3 linked regions of the Schizosaccharomyces pombe genome follow. The gene in region 1 interacts genetically with each later gene. Each region holds a gene or a part of one and is shown on either strand. Other genes may lie near its edges.

Region 1 (5,125 bases):
TGAAACTGCAAAAGCGAAATACGCATCTCAAAAGCGACCGTAATATATTACGGCGTTCTTTCTCAAAAAATATTCCACTATGAAGGAATTTTCATTTCCAGGATAAAAATCTGTTATGACTCTAGATTACCTTGTTGGACTTATGTTGGGAGAATTTGTTTCTTTGATATATAAAAGTCTCGTACTTTTTAAATAAATGAATACCTCAAATCTCTTTGAGTAATATATTAATAGTTTAAGTAATTATTATTAGGTCGATATAATATCTATTAACACTTGCATTTACGATGGATTCAATCTCTCTAAGTAATCACCATTGTAGGAAACAGGAGATCATAGTAGCTAAAACGACGGAGCCAGTCAACGAAGTTTTAAAAGAAATAAATTAATACAGTACAAGTAACTTTTACAATTGCAAACTTTCGTTTGCACTTCTAAAGCCCCTTAGTTAAATAAAAAAAAAGTTTTTTATGGTGGACGTAAATGCCTTAAACAAATGTAATAACACATTAAATACCCGTTTTAATTTAAAGCAAAAATGCAAACATCAACTACCGTTATACGGAATCATACCCAAATTATTAAATTTATGAAAAAGCACAAATGCAAAATAGCGTCGGTTCTGCTGAAACATAATTATGGATCACGTAATAGTCATGCATTCGAAATTAAAGACAAACACCAATGCGCATGGGTACTTTAAAACAGAGCAGGCAATTAGAAAGCAGGCGAACCTTTAGCTTCTTTTTTCACCTTTCTCTTTAAGAGCGCCTTTTGCCCATGAAGCCATGTCCACATCTGCATTTTGATATTTTAACAACCATGGATGGTTAGCCAACTCATGATAATCGGGACGCAAAGACGGGTTTTTATTCAAACACTTGTTTACAAAATCACGAGCTTCGGGAGAAAATGAATCGGGGAGAGAAGGTGGATCGCCATCGCAAATCGCCGATAGTTGTGCAAATATTGAAGTATATGATTCAGGTGGATACGGATAAGCTCCTAAAGCCATTTCTAAAATGGTAAGGCCTAGAGACCACACATCAGCCTGTACGGTGTAAGTCAAGACGCCATTGGTAGGTCCACCAACACGAATTCTTTCAGGAGCCATGTAAGATTGACATCCAATGTTCGTTTTGGATATAGAAGCCACAAGATTCCCACTCACGCCAAAGTCACATAACTTAACCTGGCCATTAGAATTTACCAAAACATTAGTAGGTTTAACGTCACGATGAATGATATTATGCTCCTCTTTCAAAGTTTTGAGGCCTTGCACTACAGCATAAGCAGTTCTAGCTAAAACTCCTTCGTCTTTGATACCACCAGCATACAGTTTGTCCATGCTACCAGCATCCATATATTCCATACAAATAAAAACAGAACCTTCCACAAAAAAGGCACCATAAAAGTCAACGATATAAGGACTAACTGCTTTATGTAAAATATCCAATTCCATTATAATTTGATTAAATGTTGCTTCTTCTAAGGACAACCTAATTTCCTTCAAGGCCATAGTGACACCAGTCGGTTGATGCAATGCTTTATACACAACACCATAGTTACCTTTTCCAAGTTCTTCAAGCTTAATAATCTCTGACATATTAATACGAAACGAAGAGCCAGATGAAAAGTTAACACCTTCTGAATTTAACACGGCTTTGTTTTTAAAATTTAAGGTGCCTGATTTTGCATCCAAAATATCCGAAAATGTGGAAAAAGGGGTTTCCGAAACAGCCTGTTTAAGGGTGGGAGGAATGTTTAGGCCACGGCGAGAAGCCATGCTAGACGGACTGACAGGGCTGGTGGGATTGGAATTGGATAAATCGAGTTTTCCAGGTGGTGCACGACGGATTCTCGTTTGTCGATTGAAGGACGTTGGACGGTTGAGTAAAGGATTCCTAGCAGCAGCAAGTGATTTTGCAAGCCCGGACTCTGGCATATTCGGAGACTTTACGGGCGAATTACTTAATCGACCAGCAAGTTGAGAGTTAGGCAAAGGATAACTTCCTCGTTGACCCATACCGACAATAGGGGTAGTTGGACTACTGATCTTGTTGACTACTTCCGGCATTGATTTTGATCTAGATGCATGGAAGGCCTTCAATTTCTCCTGTATATCAGTTGAAAGTCCTCCAGGAAATGGGCCCGGTGGAGTAGGAGGAGATCCAATATTGTTCTGACCAGCTGCTGTAGGAAGTGAACGTCTAGGTTTTTCCGAAGGATCCTTCATGTCAAGGTTAAGAGAGTTACGACTCCGACTGGACGTAGATCTGCCAAGTCTGACCGTAGGCACGGCACGGGGAAGAGGGGGATCGGAAGGTATTTCACGACTAGGAGAAGAAACCTTTGAGTCATTGTCACTGCCACTACTGTTAGAATTTAAAGACAAGGAACCCAAGGAAGAACCAGAAGAATCGGTGTTTGAAGAACTTGAAGACGAAAGAGAAAGGAGCGAGCCGGGAGTACCAACATCACCGGGAGGTGCGGTAGGAGAAATAGACAGCTGTCTCAATGAGCAAGACAAGGGTTGATTATTTGGAGAAGACATATAAAATAAATGTGCTTCACAAACTTAAAAAAAAAGAAAAAAAAATTAGGTAAACTAAATTCCGGTAATATAAATGAAGCAAAAGTGAAGATGAACGAAAGTGAGATGGCAATACAAAAAAGGTATCTTGGGTGAAAAGAACAATTAAAATTAGACAATCAATTACGAGTCGTCTCCGACGAAGAAGGAAAAAAAAAGCGGTGGTCTAAAAAGTCCGCAGGAAGGATATTCCAAGAAAAAAAAAGGAAGTTTAAAGGCAATCACCTACGAGTAGCTTTGTGTAGGTAAATGCCACGGAAAAAAAGGAGGTTTGGAAGGGTTTAAATTTAACAGCAAAAGCCAGAAACTGGAAGAAACAGGGGCTTAGATAATAAATTTCCCAAGGAGAACTAAAGAAAAAAAAGTAAAAAGGTGTGGGTTAATCTTAGTCCGAGAAGTCAATACTTTAAAACCGAGTTATGACCGACGAGTAAGGAGGCAAAGGTAAGGAGAAAAAGTAATAATTCACAAACACGAAATAAAAAGGAAAGAAATTTGAAATTATCTTTCTAAAAGATAACACGTAAGGGTGTGGAAGGAAGAGAAAAAATTCAGAAACGCTTTTCTCTTACAGTAAAGAGCAAAAAAAATTCTGCTCTTTAAAGGAAATGGGAAAATTTAGGGAGGGTGATAAAATAGGAAGTGTAGTCGGTACGATGTAAATAAGATATACACGTCGAAAGGGAATGCTTGAGAGATTAGGAATCCCAGCTATCGCCAGCCGGCTGGGGTATGTTTGGGTATACAAGAAGGTGGAATGGGATGGAGTTGGTGAAGGATAAAAGGATAACGAAAGTCAGACAACACGTTGCTTAATCTTAAGGAGAAACTTTTGCACGTTAGCTTACGTATCAGTATATAAGGATAACGTGGATAAAAAAATGTTTCATCAAAACAAGGGATGGTTAAGGGATACAATCAAATTTGTAAAATCAAAATAACGTGAAGCCAAATAATATGCTGCAGATCTCCGTATAAGCGTAACGACCTGTATGAATCATTCGACAAGATTTCTAACAAGGTATCCTGAGATTTATATGCAAATGGAAAGAATGTACGGCAGAAATAGCTGGTAAGAAATACCTCGATGGATTAATGGGAAAGCACAGGATGATTGGGTAAAATGCTCAACGTATAGAGAATAATACATAGAAGTAAAGAAAAACAGAAAAAAAAAGGGCCGAAAAATATTTTAATGGAAGATAAACACAACGATTTATCGGTCTTGACAGAAGGAATTGAATTGTCCGATAGATATGGTAGTGTTTGATTAGAAAAGAATAAAGAATAAATAAATAAAAACAAAAATAATTAATGATTAGGTGCATAGGGCTTTAAGTTTCAAAGCTGGTATTCGAATGTCAATGTATACTAAGAAAAATCATGATCCAAGGTAAAATGTATAACCAAATAAATAAGAGAAATATAACTAACCTAGTAGCTTCCGTCCTTGAGAGCGATAAAAAAAAGCGAGTTAACGCACAAGTGTTTCGAAAAGGTGTAGTAATGTATAATAAAACATTTTTTAATAATCGTTAAAAGGTTCAGCAAGTGGAATGAAGAGAGTGTGTTATTTGTGCTCTAGAAGCAGCGTAAAAAAAAATTTATTTATTTTTAAATTTTTTTTTTTTTTCTAATTTTTTTAAATTTCTTTTGTTTAAGGAAACACACAAAAATAATGTAAGAGTAGCAGCAAAACTGCTAGGAACATTTTGTTCTATGGAAAAAGACACTGAAGTGAAAAGTGCAACGAAGGGGTAGAACTTTCGTAGGAAGGAAAAACAAGCAAAGAGAAAAAAATTTACAAAAGTTCCTAGATCACTCCATCTATATGCAAATGCATAATGTACGGTGTATGCTCGAACAAAGTAGAAAGGGGGCTATAAAAACGATTTGAGGATAATCCTTTATTAATGAGAAAAAATTTGGAACGTCTAGTTTTGCGCCAACATCAAGGGAAGACAAAAAAAATTTTCATTAAAACAGACTCAATAATGTTCAATTGAGATAGAAGAATACAGAAAGAGTCGAATGATTGAACATGTGGTGAAAAAGGCTGAAGATGAAACTAGATAGAAAGAGGCTGTATTCCCAACATCCAAAAATGAGGAAAAACTAAAGAAGAGAAGGAAAGTGGAATAAAATGAAGAAATTAAAAGAGAAAATCATACGATGAAACTGAGAAGAAGAAGAAGGCATTTTATTTTAATTTTATTAATTTTATTAGATTTCATTTCGTTTGACGCTTTACGGTTTCATGAAATGCCAAATTGCTAATTCTTTATTAGATTTTGGAGTATTTTCATTGTTAGTCTGCGAGTATTTTCATTATTAGTTTGTATTTAAAAAGTTTCATCGTATGTTTCTATAGATGCGTTTTTTTTTACATTATTTGAATTGAATGAAGAATTGATTTGCTATAAGAGAAATTTTTGACTTGGTATGGTTGCTGGCTGGCACCCACGGCTGCGTATGCCACATACCATACAATAGTAGACTAAGACGACTGTACATACGAATGGTAGTTGTTTT
Region 2 (9,570 bases), 400 kb from region 1:
AAAGAGAGAGAGAGAGAGAGAGGAAGAGAAAAGGGATGAATTGAAATATAAAAAAATATATATAAATAAAAACAACAATACATACACTTACACTTACACTTACATACAAACACACACACATCAATTGAATCAAAATTATGAAAATATAAACAAATCCTCTTTTTTTTCCTTTTCTTTTTTTTTTCTTTTCTTTTCTTCAGCTTTACATCCCTTTGAATCCTCATCATCTGTGCTTTTTTCAATTCCGTTTTGCTTTGTCAATTCTGCTTTGCTTTGCTTATCAGTTCTACTTTGTCGATTGTGCTTTCTTCCTCTCTCTCCATCGTCAAGCTTTGCCGCCCCTGACCCCTTCATGACAACAGTACGACTTTTATCAAGATAGAATAGAACTGACTGGTCATCTCCTGCATCCCATTTATGTAATAAGGACTTTATCTCTGATTCATATTTCACACACAATGAGCGAAAGGGTTGGTTATCATGGAAGGAAGAAAGAGCAATGAATTGATTACGAGTGGAAAAAATCAAATGCCGCACCTTTTTTCCCTTTTATATATAGAGGTGAAAATCCCTCCATGTGTCAACTCAAAATAAAAGTTGAACAAATTAACATCGATTATTGTTTGCACGTTTTTCGGCAGCTAAATCCCCCCGCCCGCTCCAAGATACTAAAAGTTTGGAAACCATTGTAACATAAAAAGAAAAGGAAAGTTAAAGAAAAAACAAAAACTAAATTGTTATTGTTGCTGTACTAGACTATACTCTACTCTACTTTACTATACTATACTATACTATTCTATTCTAGACTATACTATTTTTGTACAGTCTATAAAAACCATCTTGTATACATTTTTATCTCTACATACGTGGACGTTGATTCCATAAAAACATAAAGGTGTTTTTCTTCCTTCACGAATTTTATTGATGAAGAAGTATTAAACACTTTGCTCTTTTTCCAAATCCCATCCATTGCTCGTTTCTTCAATCACCGTGAAGTTTCGTAGTGATTTTTTTGTGATTTCTTTATCGTATCGCACTGTTCGTTTCGTTTCGTTTCATAAATACATCATTTTCGTTTCGTCTCTCGTCAATTCTATTTGGAAAATCTTGTTTCCTCTCTTTCGAAAACTAAGCAAAAACTTTTTCTAGTATTTCTCTCTCTCAACCATTTTTGGTTTGTTTCTTTTTATTTTTTTGGTGAATCAAGTTTGACTTTTTTTTTTTCTCTCTCTCTCTCTCTCTCTCTCTTGATTCTCCTCCCTTCTTCCCATAATGATCGGTTCCATCAATGAGTCTCCCATCGAGGAGCATATGAATGACTCCCCCTCTACAAAGGAAAAGGCCGACTCCGTCGACATCTCTGATTACATCGTTAGCCATTCCGATGACAGTTTATCCAAAGACATCAAGAAAGACACAAAGTCCTTTCTCGATGTCGAACATGGTGAAATTAGTACGGTTGACGAGTTTGAGGAAGACTCTCCTTATCCAGAGGTTCGTGCCGCCGTCCCTCCTACCGATGATCCAAGTATGCCATGCAACACCATTCGCATGTGGACCATTGGTCTCATCTATTCCACCGTTGGTGCCGCCGTCAACATGTTCTTTTCCCTTCGAAACCCAACCGTCACTTTGAGTGTTTTGATTTCCGAGCTTCTCGCATACCCAGCATTACAGATTTGGGACTTGATTTTCCCCGATCGCGAATTTCGCATTGGACGTTTAAAGTTTAATTTTAAGCCTGGTCCCTTTAACGTTAAAGAACATGCTCTCATCGTCGTTATGTCGAGTGTATCGTTTGGTAATGCCTACTCCACCGATATCATCCTCGCCCAACGTGTACACTACAAACAGCGCTTCGGCTTTGGCTACGAAATCTGTTTGACTTTGGCCACTCAACTTATCGGATACGGATTGGCTGGTTTATCCAGAAGACTTTTGGTCCGTCCTGCTAGTATGTTGTGGCCTGTGAATCTCGTTCAATGCACCTTGATCAAGACTTTACATCGCAAAGACTTACGAAACGCCGTTGCCAATGGCTGGAGAATTTCCCCCTTCCGTTTCTTTTTGTACGTTTTTATTGCTTCATTCATTTGGAATTGGTTCCCTTCCTACATTTTCCAAGCCCTTTCCCTATTTGCTTGGGTCACTTGGATTCGTCCTAATAGTCCAACTGTAAATCAAATCTTTGGTGAATCCACCGGAATCTCCATCCTTCCCATGACTTTTGATTGGAATCAAATTTCCGCATACATTCTTTCCCCCCTCATGGCTCCTGCCGATGCTTTGATGAACATTCTTTTGGGCGTCATTCTATTCTTTTGGATCGTCACTCCAGCCCTTAACTTTACCAACACGTGGTATGGTGATTACCTACCGATCAGTAGTTCTGGTATTATCGATCACTTTGGTAATAGCTATAACGTTACTCGCATCCTCACCAAGGATGCTACGTTTGATTTGGATGCCTATCAAAACTATTCTCCCATTTTCATGTCCACCACCTACGCTTTGGCATTTGGCCTTTCCTTCGCTTCCATCACTTCTGTCATTTTCCACGTGATCCTATACCATGGAAAAGAGATCTACGACAGGTTACGCGATCCACCCGCACCTGATATCCATGAAAAACTCATGAAAGCCTATGATGAAGTTCCCTTCTATTGGTATTTGAGTGTTTTCTTGGCCTTTTTCGGCATGATGATGGGTACTATTTATGGTTGGAAAACGGAAACCCCTTGGTGGGTTATCATTGTCGGTGTCATTTTCTCTGCTGTATGGTTCATTCCAATTGGCATCGTTCAAGCTATAACCAACATCCAGCTAGGCTTGAATGTATTCACCGAGTTTATCGTTGGTTATATGTATCCTGGTCGTCCTTTGGCCATGATGATTTTCAAGACTGTCGGTTATATTACAATGACTCAGGGATTGGCTTTCGCTGCCGATCTGAAGTTTGGTCATTACATGAAGCTTCCTCCCAGAATCATGTTTTACACCCAAATGATTGCCACCATATGGTCTTGCTTTGTTCAGATCGGCGTATTGGATTGGGCTTTGGGTAATATTGATAATGTTTGCCAGGCCGATCAACCTGATAATTACACTTGTCCTAATGCAACTGTCTTTTTTAATTCTTCCGTTATTTGGGGTGTAATTGGTCCCAAGAGAATGTTTTCTGGAAAAAACACCTATACGGGATTGCAGTACTTCTGGCTCGCTGGCGTGCTGGGTACAATTTTGTTCTGGGCTCTATGGAAGAAATGGCCTCAAAAATGGTGGGGTCAATTGAATGGCCCGCTAATTTTTGGAGGTACTGGTTATATTCCCCCAGCTACTCCTGTAAACTATCTGGCTTGGTCTGGAATTGGTCTGTTCTTCAATTATTATCTGAAGAAGATATTCGCAGACTGGTGGCAGAAATACAATTTCACGCTTTCTGCTGCTCTTGATACTGGTACGCAGTTGTCGGTCATTATACTTTTCTTTTGCTTACAGTTGCCTATGGTTAATTTCCCAGATTGGTGGGGTAATGATGGTGCCTTTAATACGCTGGATGCTACAGGTGCCGCTGTTAGGAAACTCGTCAATGAGTCAGCAGGTGAATTCTTTGGTCCCGCCGAATGGTAAAATCAATGCTGTATTTTTTTCTTTGTTTTTTTTTTCCATCTTTTAACAAATGATAAAAATTATAAGCATTGATTTGTATACTAAAGCTTCGTGAATTAATTATGTCTACACTTTCTTTTAGTGTTTGAATATTCAACATCTATGCAATATATATTTTTGGATGATTGATTGTTGTCTATTTTTTTTTACGTTGCATGATTAGATTTGTGTTTAATCAATCGTTCAACAAGTTTATCTCATGTTTATTAAGCTTTCTAATTTGTTATTTTTTATTAATTGTTGTTAGAATTGAATAGTTCGTTCTAAATTGAAACAAACGTTTGCATTTTTATATACGTTTTGTAATGTGAACATCAGTAATTTCATTTTCACTTTTTGTATACATCCTCAATGTAGCGACAAACACTCACTAAGTAAAGTAAATATTGTGAAGGTGCAAATTTTAACTTGATTTCATCTTATGAATGCATGTTCGTATGATAATAGATATGTAAATGACCGATGACAAACCTATTCATTAACTTGATTTATATACTGTTCACGATATTAATACTCCCACAATACACTAAGACTTGTTGATTTCTTACATTAAAGGAAAACAGTAATCAGTTGTTATTAAAAACACTGCTGATTCTTACTAAATAATATAGTTTTAATTATTAAATCAAATCAATCTCATAAGAATGAGTTATAAGTAGTATTCTATAACTCTGCCACATGTGATGAATGGTAAACATTAAGAAAGCGTGTAGTTTTTGTTGTCCAAACGATATTATAGTGAACTAGACACGACAGACAAATTTTATCACTTCATAAAGTACTAAAAGTATGCATGCGGGACGGCGTTCAGTGCAAAATTAAAACAGTAATGGAAAACGGGAAGAAATATAAAAAGAGAAGCCTAAAGATTTTTTAATGTAAAATAAACATATATAATTTCACATCCATAACATAGCTAAATGCATGGAAAAGGGCGTTACAACCCTCAACGGAGGGAAAGTCAAAGGGAAGTAAAAACGTTATTCTTCATTACAACCATCACAGACTGAGACCTTTTCAGATCAAAAACAGTCTAGTACCCTAAATTGATTCTTTGAGCAAGATCACCGCTTCCGATGACACTTGTTGCAACAGCAGCCGAATTACTCTTGGCCACTGGGCAGTCTTTATGAGCAATCAATAAGGTCTTCAAACTCACAATTTCCTCACGTAATGCACTGACTTGTGCACTTAAAATTTCATTTTCATTACCATAAAATTCAACCTTCGCTTGAAGATTAGAAAGCCATTGTTTTTTACGCTGTCTACATTTAAGAGCAGCTTGTCGATTGCGTTCCAGGAAGCTTTTACGTTTCTCTTCATCAGTTTCGTTTTTGGAATTCCGGCGAGATGAACCTTTGCTATACGAAGTGCCGTTGGCAGATTCACTAGAAGCCTTACCATTAATGGAAGAAGTGGGTGAGGATTGATTATTGGCATTACTAGAAGGCTCTTGCGAAGTGGAATAGTCAGTACCATTTTCGAGTTTGACCGGCATCGAATTTGCCGTTGGCATATCAGAATTAGAAGTTTTTTGCGGTAGATTTGTGGATCCATTCTCGGCATTTTGTCCGGAAAAGTCCGTGGTTTGGCGTAATGTTAATGAAGGGTCGGCAGGATTAACTGTATCGCCGTAAACAGATGGCATGCCGTTAAATTGTTGCGACCCCATAAAGTACATAGGCTGTTGCTGAGTACGAGATGCTTGAGGGTTCATTGTACCTGTAACAGCTTGGGGGTTAGTATTTTGAGTAAAAGATGGCCGGATAGAGTCGGGGAAAGTCTGTTGCTGAGTTTGCTTCAGGAGGTTGTTGGCAGTGGTGGATGCTGCTTGATCGTTTTCAGAGGAGATGGGTTGCTGAAGCTTTTGCTGCTGATCGGGAACCTGGGAGAGTAAGCATAACCCATGAACCGCAGCATTGGCACCGAAATAATCAGACTGGTCACCATTCGTCCCATTTACAACAGGCGGTTTACCATCCCTTGGGGTAAAACGATATTGATCAGGAAATTGAGAATCAAACGTATGAAACCCTAATAAATTGGCAGTACCAGGTGAAGGAGCGGGAAATCCAGCTCCAGTAGGGGTTAAAAGAGATCGGAAGGGTTCATTAACACCAGGAGTAAATCCAGTTCCACTAGAAAATCTAGCTGCTGCAGATGCATCTGAAGGATTGTTTAGGTAGTCAGGACGAAGAGTAGCATCATAAATAGCAGGAGAAAGGGGATTATGCATTGTACCACGAGTAAAAGCAGACCAAGCAGGATAGCCCAACGGCGAGGCAATACCTGGAGCTCCACTTAAGATATCAGGTGATGCTATGGAAGAAACAGGAGGTAAGAGAGTTCGCGCAAACGCAGGAGGCACACCTGAAGGAATGTTACTAAGGCTAGGATTACGATTAAGAGAAGGATTTCCTTGTCCAACCGAAGCGGTAGAGCCAAATGAATGCTCAAAGGGGTTGGGTTCGTAATCCAGCTTCAAGGAGCCTACGAAAGACGGAGTTACACCATCGGATTGGTCAGCTGGATTCGCATTAGCGACAGATCCGGCCCCTCCATTAGGAGCGATAGTTGAAGACTGTTGATTCTGCTGAGAATTGTTGCTTGGTGGTGCAAATGAATCAGATTGATTGTTTTCCGGAACCTGAGTACTGGAAGCAGTAGCATTACCATTTGAAACAGCGGCAACAGATGCTGGTTCTGTGGAAGTATTGACGGGAGACGGGGACATAATTGAAGAATTTATGCTTTAACACTTGACAAAATGTATTAAGAGATGACGTTAAAAATCACACACGCTTAAATAACGAAAATAAATAATTTAGATATATAGATGAACCCGTTTAAAGAGAAGATCGAAAATAGTTTTGTCAAAACTAAATAAAAAAACAACTACAAGAAATTAATGGCTTTCCAAATTTGACAAGACAGAAGTAATAACGGCTGATAAAGCAGAAAAAATAGAAACTATATTGTTTCAATAAAAAAGAAAAGAAAAAAAAAGGAGGAGGAGATTAAGGAGATAAAAATACAACTTTCTCGAAAAAAAAAGGGAAAACCGCGACGGAGGCTCTAGACGAGAATTAGTTAGATGTCTGTACAGGCAAAGCTAGAAGACTAGATATGCAAGATTGTGAAGGAAGATATTCTACAAAGGGTAAAAAAAAACTCGCAAAGGTAATAGTCAAGTTTGTAAAAGAACATGTCCAAATAAAATAACAAAGAAACTAATAAAGAATTACAAAAGATAAAAGGGATGTTCCTACTCTTTGTTCTTTTCCTTTTCTTCGTTCGATCGTTTTTGTTAGGGTGTGTTGATTTGGATTATATGAATGTGGAGGCCTTTTTTGAATGAGTTTCAGAACTTAATGTGAGAGAGTACAGTCAAGCGTAGAGTAATAAAGAGATTCGTACTTCAACAGCAAATACACCTGCTAAAACACCCGTTTTTCTTTTTTGGAAATTTTTTTGCCAAAAACGAGACAAAACGGGTTTTCCGCTCTTCTAGCTTCCTTTCTACTCTTGTTCTCTTCCCGTGTGCGTTTATTCACTTCCGAGAAATCATTCATCAAAAGTTGCCACCACATAGATCCCAGTTCAGTCAAGGCAATAGTAACCTACAATGGTAACAAGTAAAATTTTCTAGCACAACAACACCAAAAAAAAATTTCCAAACCCTCAAAAAACGAAGGAATTCCAAACACATTTTACGTTTCCTGTAAACTAACAACCCCATAACGATCAGTGTTATTGATAAGAAAGCGTCATACTCGTCATGTTTAGTAGGGTCAATGACGATAGGAGCAAATTTTCAAATTTTCATAAAAATTCGGTTTTCAACACAACCCGTCACGTTTTTATCACGCTCTTCCAATTTTACAGCCTTTTACATAATCAAACTTCACAATTGCATGTATAAACACATACCTATTTGACTTAATCAACCAAACGTACTAGTAGCAGGTCGTCGTCATGAACCAGAGAATTCGTAATTCAGATCCAACTAAGCGATGACTACTGTATAAATGATGAAAAGACTCGGTCAACTGTCCAAACTGAAATTTACAAACAGAAAAATGGTTTTCGTCAATTCAATCGTTCAAAAAGTGCTCAAAGTAAACTTTTTAGCAATTTCCTAAGTAGTTTCTTTCTTCTTATGTTGTAAGTAAAGGGTAAGTTGTAAATTCCTAGTGCCACACTTCCACCTGTTTCAAACAGATGACGTCATTGCATCACTTTGCATGATTGAACTTAACCAATCACGTGCGGGGCTCTGAAGAAGGGTAACAAGGAAATGGGTCTGGAATAAACCGAGCAAGACGATACTTAAAGTACTGCTGTGTAGTTTTGTATTTTGTGTTATCGTATCGTTAAGAAACGTATCGATAGTTTGGGGAATGGGAAAGGATGGACGGAAAGTAGGATGTTATTGGTATATCATGGAGTGCGTGCTTTTTAAGCAAATATGATGTTAGCAATATGTAGTAAAAATGGTGAGTTTGTGTATAGTGCCATGAATCTTATTTCACTCTTAACTCAAGCTTATTTTATATTAACCGATGAATGAATAAATAATATATCTTTGATGAAGCTAAATCGTTGCGTGTATTTCTGATATTATGTTGTATGTAGGTAAGTGTTTTAGGTTGGACTTCTGCGTGTTTGTAAGATGTGTACGTACGCTGAGTAATTAGCAATGTATGAATAGATCCAGCAGTTCCAGAAGACCTACGAAAAAATAAAATAAAATAAAATAAAATAAAGTAAAAAATAAAATTAAAATAAAAATAAAGATAGGTTATACGCAGAAATAATATACAAGTTTCAAATATTATGAGTACTTGTCACGAATTCAATTATGGAGAATTCTGTACAGTAGGATCTTTCAAAAAGTCTTTACATAGACTTAGATTGTATATATAACATACCAACCCTTACAACATTTAAATAACAGTTTTAATAGCTAATTCATTTGTTTTACAATGAAATCTTTTGCTTACATTTTCGGGAACTTATTAGTCAATACGGGTTGGCATTTTGTTGGGATTACGGATCCGAAAACTACCCAAAAGATAAGCAAAGAAAATGAAGTTTTTTAAAAACAAAATAAATTTGTATTCGTGAAACATAAAAGAATAAAAAAATTAAGTTAGAAACATTTTATGCAAATCATTCCATTCAATTAGCAATTGTGATGGAATTGGTTATACCAATAGATATTTTACACTCATTTTAAAACAATTAAAATTAAGTGAATATATTTGTGTGGTGTGTACTGAGTCAATCATTAATGCAATTAGTTATATTAATAAAGTTCTTTTTGTTTGCGATAACTTTCGTCTCTCTTTTTTTTTTTTTTTTTTTGTTAATTTTTAATTTTTTTTAACACGGCATCTTTCTTCACGAATTTCCTAACTGGAGCCATCAATATCGTAGCGTACACAAATTTCCGTTAAAGCATTTTAAATTGCAGTAAGCTACGTTAAATGAATGAACGAAAGCTAACCCCCGTTATCGGAGACAAACCAGCCCCCTCCTACAGAAGTTGCGCTGCACTGCTTAAAATCCGCACTCGAATTGTATAAAGTAGCTTTTTTGTTTATAACCCGTTTCTCCATCTACCATATGTCAAAGAATCCTCTTGGAACGTTGGTTGTCCGAATATGGAAAGCTGTAAGTCTTAAAAGATGAAGATTTGTTTTGTAAAACTAACGTGTCTTCTTTAGAAAAATTTACCAAACAAGGCTCTAGTGGGCAAACAAAGCCCTTACTGCGTTTGCAGAGTTGGTGAGGTGGTAAAACGTACGCAAACGGATAAGAGAAGCGGTCAAGAACCATCGTGGAATGCGGTACTGGAGTTTAACATTCCCAGTGAATCTTATCATATTATGAAAATAA
Region 3 (7,578 bases), 540 kb from region 1:
CTTGAAGTAGGCCTCATCGGCTTCGAACATACCGTCCATCCAGGGGAGAAGCTTCTTGGCGCAGTGGTCAGAGTGCATGACGACGGGGACACCGAAGAAAGGAGCGATGGAACGGATGTAGTGGGCAGCGGCGATGGAACCGGCAATGGAGGCCTTTTGGCCCTCGTTGGAGGATTCCTTACCAGCAAAGAAGTGAGCACCACCGTTGGAGGTTTGCAAGATGATGGGGGAACGAGCCTCACGAGCAGCCTCAAGAGCAGCAATAGCAGTGGAGGAGGAGGTGACGTTAATGGCAGGGATGGCGAATCCGTGCTCACGAGCGTAGGTGAACAACTTTAAAACGTTGTCACCTGTAATAACACCAGTAGGTACAATATCGAGAATTCCCATTTTGCTAATTTGTGTGTGTGTTCTATACGACCTTTGGAAGTATGATACTGCAACAGTAGCGCGCAACCCTCTATTATATACCATGGAGCCGGAGTTGGCCTCGGAAAAACTTCTCACCTGATGTGCATATCGATACCTATCCGGTCCGTGGTTACCACCAATCACCGTCCCCTGTTTTAGGGGTTGACGTCAAAAGAAGTTTTTGATTTCTTCCATTTACCATCCCCAATCCCCCCGATAGCGCTCTGCATCGAAGTACGCAATTCCGTTCAAGAACCGTAACACGTTGCGTGGTGTGTGTCAAGGCAAAAGGAAGCGGCGGCGGCGGTAACCAACTCGTTCACCCGATGCACAAACACAAACAAAAGAAACATTACCAACGTAAACATAAATACAAACCTAAGCATTAAACATTTATAAATACAAACATCTAACCTGCCCTATACTATTCATATGTCTATTTCATTTCTATTCATTTCTTTTCATTAATTTCATTTCATCTCCTCTTGTCTTGTCTCGTCTCGTCTCGCTTCTCCATTCTCCCAGCCATCCCTACTTCCCAGTTTGAGTGATGGATTTTTCTACTCAACCAACTTGAACCAGCCAACTAAACTAATGCATTTCTTTTGTTATCACAGTCTGGCCGTCTCGGTTCGGTTCGATGGTGTTGTGCCCACACACCCCATCTGCATCTTCGGTAGTATTCTTATTTTATAGTTGTCGCCTGGGTCAAATGATCAAGAAATGCAAGGCAATTCTTCTTCCAAGCATGCTTGAATTAGCTTTACCATCAATGTAAGAATAGACACTTTGCACCGCATTTCATCACTGTCTTTACACAAGCAGGTATGTGAAATGAAAAGTATTTTTGGACATATACAAAGTGCACAACTAAGTAGCTCTCTCACGTATTGATGATTTTCCATGCGTCCGACCGGCATTCGTTTACGGGAGTATGAATTTCGTAAGTGGTTTGATTGATTGAATGCTTTATCATTTTTTGGTTATCTAGTACCACTTGTGTTTCGCTTGGCCACGAGTAATATTAGTCCAGCAATGAGGTGAGAGAAGAGATCATCGTTTGTGTACATAACAAGAGGAAGAAACATTGATAAAAAGGAATTGAGAGAGTGGAAGAGGATGAGACTTGACTAGAAGAGTATGAGACTGCAGTCACTGTCAAGTGTTGCTATTGCTGAGACTAGGAGACAAATCATTCTTACTATTATTAACTCTCTTGTTTACTTGGTAAATTTCATTTCATGTCCATCCATTCATTCCATTCCATTCCACATCTCCACCCATCTCACATCATGTCAAGCTAATATTTCTCTGCTCAAAATCGTTGGTCTGCATTGTCCATTCCATCGTCGTGGCATTGCATCTCTGAGTGTATGTGTGGCATTGCATTGGATTGCGTTTTCATGCTCGGTCATGTGTCACTTTGCTTGGAGTTGCGCTTTGCCTTGTTTTGTCGATTCATTTTTTCCATCCAATTTCTTCCTTCGTACATACGCTTTGTTTACGTTTTCGCTGCAGCTCTGGTCAGGTAACGATTTGCAAGGCAACCATTCCTATTTAGCAACCCCGACACGATGACCGATATACCTCGTTACCTAGATGGGCTCGGTTGATGTCAGCGGCACTTGAACCCTTCGCTACGGATAACAATTGGATTACCGCAGGGAAATGGTTGGAACGGATAAACTCTTGTTGTTAGAGATAAGCAAAATCTTGACGAATATTGTTCCTCGCCTCTTTGGCAACGCAACGCATCGATATAACGATGTAGGGCAATGCACTGTAAGCGGGCTATGTGAGGTTAACGTGGGCTTGTGAAATGAAAGGGAGAGCAGAGGGAAATGGAGAGAGAGAGAGAAAGAGTAAGACTGCAGACGCTGGATAAGTAGCATAACGCAGTGTAACTTGTAACATCGTAACACATCGAGGATAACATATAGACAAAGCGTCGTCGTAACGAATATATAGAGAGAGTTAAAAGACTAGGGTATAATATGTTTACTTGCACGCTCTACTAAATAATAGGTATAGCACGTATATCCAAGTTGTAACTACAGCTATGTACAAGTACATCTCATAGCACAATATACACATATATAAACACATTATGTGGTACAGCCTGTAGACTTTTTATATTTGATAGCATGGTTTGTCGAGTTGTAGGTTTTATTTATTTATTTATTTTTTTAAGTAGACAGCATAGTTTGTGTAATTGATTTTCCATCCATTAAGTTTATTATCCTACTTTTTCGTTTGCACAGAATCTCATTCACTAATACACTCATACATACACACACTTTTTCTTACCCAATCCTTTCTATTTCATTCCTTTACTCCTAGCATTCTTTATAGAAATACATATTCCACTTCATTCACCTATTCATCCATTCATCATTCATCTATCCACTCTATCTTTCTCATTCCTTTCCATTCCTTTACTATATATGCACTACAACTTCATATTCTTATTCCCTAAACAAAACCATAGTGTTCTTCCTTTGCCTCTCTATTCTTTTCCGCTCTTGTTAGCTCTTCACTCAAGCTGACATCCCTCTTCCAGCCCTCCGTCTAACCTTTTTTTCTCCCTGCAAATTAACCTTTTTGTTTCACCATCTCACCATCTTCATCTCGCCTAAAAGGTCTCGCATTCGGTTTCGCCCAAACATAACTTACCGGAACATGCCACCTGCCATCGCTACTCTTCCTGTGGTGTACGGATGATGGTAATGATGCATTCCGTACAATACCCCAAAAAGCTATGAGAAAAAGGTTCCCTATTCCTTTCCAAATTTACTTTTTCTCCCCTGGCGTGGCAAAGTAGCGTAACTCTTCCTATTCCATCTACTAGAACAACTCTTTCGCGTGAGTTACAGTCCCGACCTTCCTTTCCACTTCTTTGTTTACTCGCACCTTCACGCCCTATTAGAGTAAAAAACACTGCCAAAAATTTTATACTATCAAAAAAACGCCATTTTTGTGTACTGCAAGAATCATTACGGTATTTGTAAATTAGCTTCCAAAACGGTTAAACTCTATTAACAAAACACACAGATAACCTCTGTGTACAGCCTAATAAAATTCTCGACCTAGTTCAACTTTCCTATGCCTATCTAAGCTTAACGAATTTTAGAAGCATTGGTTTTTTAAAATATAGCGTTATCTAAAACAGAAAAACTGTATCATCTATTAATGCAACCTAAAGTAAAAAACTATATACATATAAATTTATGAATTTTGTTACAATGTTTACTACATACACTTTACATTCAGTGGAAATTCGTGTAAAGATAATAAATAACAAAGTTTAGTAAAATTTGTCCCCTTACAGGAAACTTATAATTGTATTATTGCTATAATTTAATTGCATCTTCAAACCTAGTTTTCTAATTTCTTTCTCTATCATCCTTTACTAAAATATATCTTTACTTAACTTAACAATATCTTTATTTTTGAAAATATTGTCCAAAAAATATTCTATATACACAACGATATTTGATATAATAATTGCTTAAAAATATCAGTAAAAATATTGTAATATTAGAATTTACAAGAAGATATCTATAAATTTAATTTAATATTTTAACTTTTAACAATATTATTACAAGTTATGAATAATATCCTTCTATCTTCGTATTCCAAAAGCTTAGTTTGCTTTATCTCTTCAACATTTCGAGTATAGCGGTGATACAATATGACTGCATGCTTCATGCTCTAAACTCTTTAAATTTACTATTACAACCGTCGTTAAAACGATCCATTCGTCTACCTTTTCTTTTTTTTTTTTTTAAGTATATATTTATAAAAAAATTTTTGTTTTAAAGAACAAACCACAAGCAAAAAAAATTCATCAATGTTGTTAACAGAAAAAGATAATGCTACCATCATAATAAACATATAAAAAAGAAGAAATATAAGTATAAAACAAGTGCATAAAATGTTAGCTATTTACACAATGTTAAAATTCAAATCCCGAGAAATAATTATTGGGGCAGTCAAAGCCCTCTATAATGTTTTGCAGTAACCCTGAACAAAACAACGTGCGGTAGCGAATATAAAAAAGAAGCAAGTAACTTTAGAGCGATTTTCGAGATGGATCTACGGCATCAGCAGCACGACCAACTGGTGCAGGATGCAAAACGAATCCAGTAAAAGGTATGGGAGTCAGCGGAGGTTGATTAGGATAACCGAAAATTTTTGCATTATTCGGATAGGGTGTGGGTGTAATAGGCATATATGAGTTAGCATTGTTATGGACAGCTGCTGCCGCCGCTGCGGCAGAAGGCCAGAATGATTCGGTTGCATGAATAGGTGCTGTAAGAGGTGTAGTCGGATCTACTTTAAGTGAAGAATTTGGTGTAAGGACTTGTAAGGAGACAGGGATCGTTGGAGTAGCACAATGATTCCAATTACTTACAAACTGGGGAGTCGGAGGCCAGGGAAAGCCAATGTTTTGAGTCGGCATATAGCCTTGATGAGGGTAACCTTGAATTCCTTGTTGCAAATTCATTTGTTGCTGTTGTTGTTGTTGTTGGTATGCGAGATAACGAGATGAAACAAGGGGAGCAGGTCGTAAACGTCGTGTAAGGTTCTTACAGTTTGATACTAGCGTGGAAAGTTCGGGTAATGTGATTCGGGTTTTGGGATTCCTATCAAAAATTCGATTGAGTAGAGAATTGAGCTCTCTACTGATGGGTAAAATGGATAAAAGGGTTGATGGATTGTGAACGTAGGAACGGTAAGTACCATCAGTTTGAGAACATGCACGCTTCCAAGGGTTCCTCTTACAACACAGATTAATTAATATAATTCCCAGAGCCCAGACGTCATTTGGCGCTGTAGCAAAGCTGGATGATTGTGATTCTATAGGTTCAGGAGTTACCGGTAGCATATCTGACAGCGAACTAAGTTTTTTCACCTCCCGTTGACATTCTGGAGACATGTAAAACAGACTACCACATCCAAAGTCACTTGAATAGGGTTCTGTAGTAGCCAGACCAAAATCAGCTAAGTATACGGTGTTTACATCATTTCCAACCATAATGTTTTCGGGTTTAAGATCTCGATGATATATGCCAACTGAGTGACAATGTTCAACAGCAGAAATAAGCTGTAAAAAAACGGTTTTAATTAAATGACTATTCCCTTGATATACCTTTTTCTCCGTGATGTAAGTAAAAAGGTCGCCATTCGGACAATACTGGAGAACGACATAAATGGCGTCTTCCGTTTCTAACACGCGGTGCAATGTAATAATATAAGGATGTGAAGAAACACGAGCATGTAAGGCAAGTTCGCGAGCTTGTAACTTCTTCTGCTTTTCATTTAAGCCATCCTTACATAAAGCCTTTACTGCATACAAGGTACCGTCGTAAATGTCTTCTGCTTTGTACACGACACCATAAGCACCGGCACCGATGATAGAAACAAATCGTAAAGAATCACCCAAGACCTGACCCAAAAGGAGTTCTGGATTTTCGCGCATCATCTAATGTTTAGTAAAGATAAATTAAATAAAGTCCCAATTGATGGCGAAAATTAGATAAGAAAATAGAAAATAAGTATTTCGGATGATAAAGTTTTGAATAGCTTAAAGAACTTTGCAACCGAAACAAAAAAAAAACTTTGAGAAAGGTTAGATTTTCTAATGTCTTCTAAAATCAATGATAAAAAAAACAAAGATCGTTATAAACAGGAAAATAGTCAATAACACAATGATAGGTTTTATCTTGATCGTTTGAGGTTTAATAATATAAGGGAATTTACAAGAAAAAAATTTTTTTTTCAATTGTAAGCAGGTAAAAAATACGACAACGAAGAATGAAAAAGAGAATCGAATACGCCAATCACAGAGAAAACGACCAACATGCAAGAAACAAAATTAATAAAGAAAAGGGGAAATGCAATTGTGGAAGGAAGAGTTAAAACGAATAATATATAATGTTTATGATTAAAAAGCACAGGTCCTTTTGAGTACAACGAATGGAAGTGAGAAGGGAATGTGAATAAAAAACCGGGAAAAATGATGATTAGTATTTTAAGCAGGGAATAAAAAGTAAGAATGCTCAAGATAATCAAAGGAAACTCTAAAGATCAACGTACAAACAAGACACACAACGATTTTCCAAAGGAACAGTAAGAGAAATCGGGAAAATGTACAGGTCAGTAGTCGGTTAAAGATGGGGGAGAAAAGTAGAATTAATTTTTACCTAGTAGTATATCCTTTCCAAATTGAGGTAAAAATGAGAATAGAATGTTCGGTTTAAAAAGAAGAGAGGGGATGAGAAGGAAACACAATCGACAATCAACGCTTGCGAGTAAGTCAATAGACTTAGGTGGAAGAGTTGGACTGGGGAAAAAAGAGATGAGTTCACCTAATGTCAATAAGTATGCACAGCAATATGGATTTGTGAATGTAAAATGAAAAAATCGAGTAATTAAGAAAAGCCGAGAGAAGAGAATTCTTGAAAAGTATTTTCATCAAGCACAAAGGAATTTACAAGAAATCGTTCAGGGTAATTCCCATTTACATTGGGGAAAAGCAGAGAAGTAGTAAGTTTGGATATGGAAAGAAGTATCTATCTCTAATCGAAGAGGCTAGGGGAAAGAACAAAGAAAGGAAAAGCAGACGCGAACAAGAACCAAAGACGAAAGTGAAAAAGAATAAATAAATAAAACAAAAAAAAAATAATAAATTAAAAAAGAGGAAAAGGAAACGCGACTCAAATATGACTAATGCTCGTCGCGATGAGAAATAGTGATTTCTTTGTTAGAAAAACGAGTAAGATGGAAACTTTTAGACACGGGAGATGATAAGAATCCAAGAGGAAGAAGGGAAAACAAATGTAAAAGAAAACGAGGATGGTGGAAGGGAGGATATTAGTAAGAATAAAAAATGGTGGTTAAAGAAAAAATAAAATCCAAATTCGACAATTCAACGTTTGTTTATAGAATTTCGAAGTTTTTAATTAAAAAAAAAATAAAATAAAAAAAATAAGAATACAATCCAAACTTGTGTAGAATGAATAAAAGATAAATTTTTTAATTTTGGTTCGATTTCTAATCAGATAAAAGTAGTGTTTTCTTTATTGCTTTAACACAGTAGACAGCCGAACAACCTGAGTAAGAGTAATCGCGTTAATGACCAGGGGATATGAAAGCTGAAATCGA

What was found.
Region 2: of wis1 (region 1) and atf1, a mutation in one rescues a mutant of the other (synthetic rescue), as found in Schizosaccharomyces pombe (2 studies listed by BioGRID, with this or other methods).
Region 3: of wis1 (region 1) and pat1, a mutation in one rescues a mutant of the other (synthetic rescue), as found in Schizosaccharomyces pombe (2 studies listed by BioGRID).

Annotation. Positions count from the first base shown.
Region 1 is NC_003423.3:1,143,231-1,148,355, forward strand, and holds wis1 (MAP kinase kinase Wis1), read right to left. Parts: upstream 3,374-5,125; 5' UTR 2,555-3,373; coding exon 737-2,554; 3' UTR 501-736; downstream 1-500. Other genes in the region: ubiquitin hydrolase Uch2, read left to right, coding at 1-43. UniProt on the Schizosaccharomyces pombe protein: Dosage-dependent regulator of mitosis with serine/ threonine protein kinase activity. May play a role in the integration of nutritional sensing with the control over entry into mitosis. It may interact with cdc25, wee1 and win1. May activate sty1.
Region 2 is NC_003423.3:1,544,494-1,554,063, reverse strand, and holds atf1 (Atf-CREB family transcription factor Atf1), read right to left. Parts: upstream 7,848-9,570; 5' UTR 7,600-7,847; exon of another isoform or gene 7,204-7,599; intron 6,745-7,203; 5' UTR 6,404-6,744; coding exon 4,703-6,403; 3' UTR 4,202-4,702; downstream 1-4,201. Other genes in the region: plasma membrane OPT oligopeptide transmembrane transporter family Isp4, read left to right, coding at 1,273-3,630; contractile ring-membrane anchor Fic1, read left to right, coding at 9,298-9,345, 9,399-9,570.
Region 3 is NC_003423.3:1,681,179-1,688,756, reverse strand, and holds pat1 (serine/threonine protein kinase Ran1/Pat1), read right to left. Parts: upstream 5,897-7,578; coding exon 4,484-5,896; 3' UTR 4,202-4,483; downstream 1-4,201. Other genes in the region: fructose-bisphosphate aldolase Fba1, read right to left, coding at 1-390; protein mug124, read left to right, coding at 1,552-1,989. UniProt on the Schizosaccharomyces pombe protein: This protein is a negative regulator of both sexual conjugation and meiosis. It phosphorylates mei2. It blocks the onset of meiosis until conjugation takes place.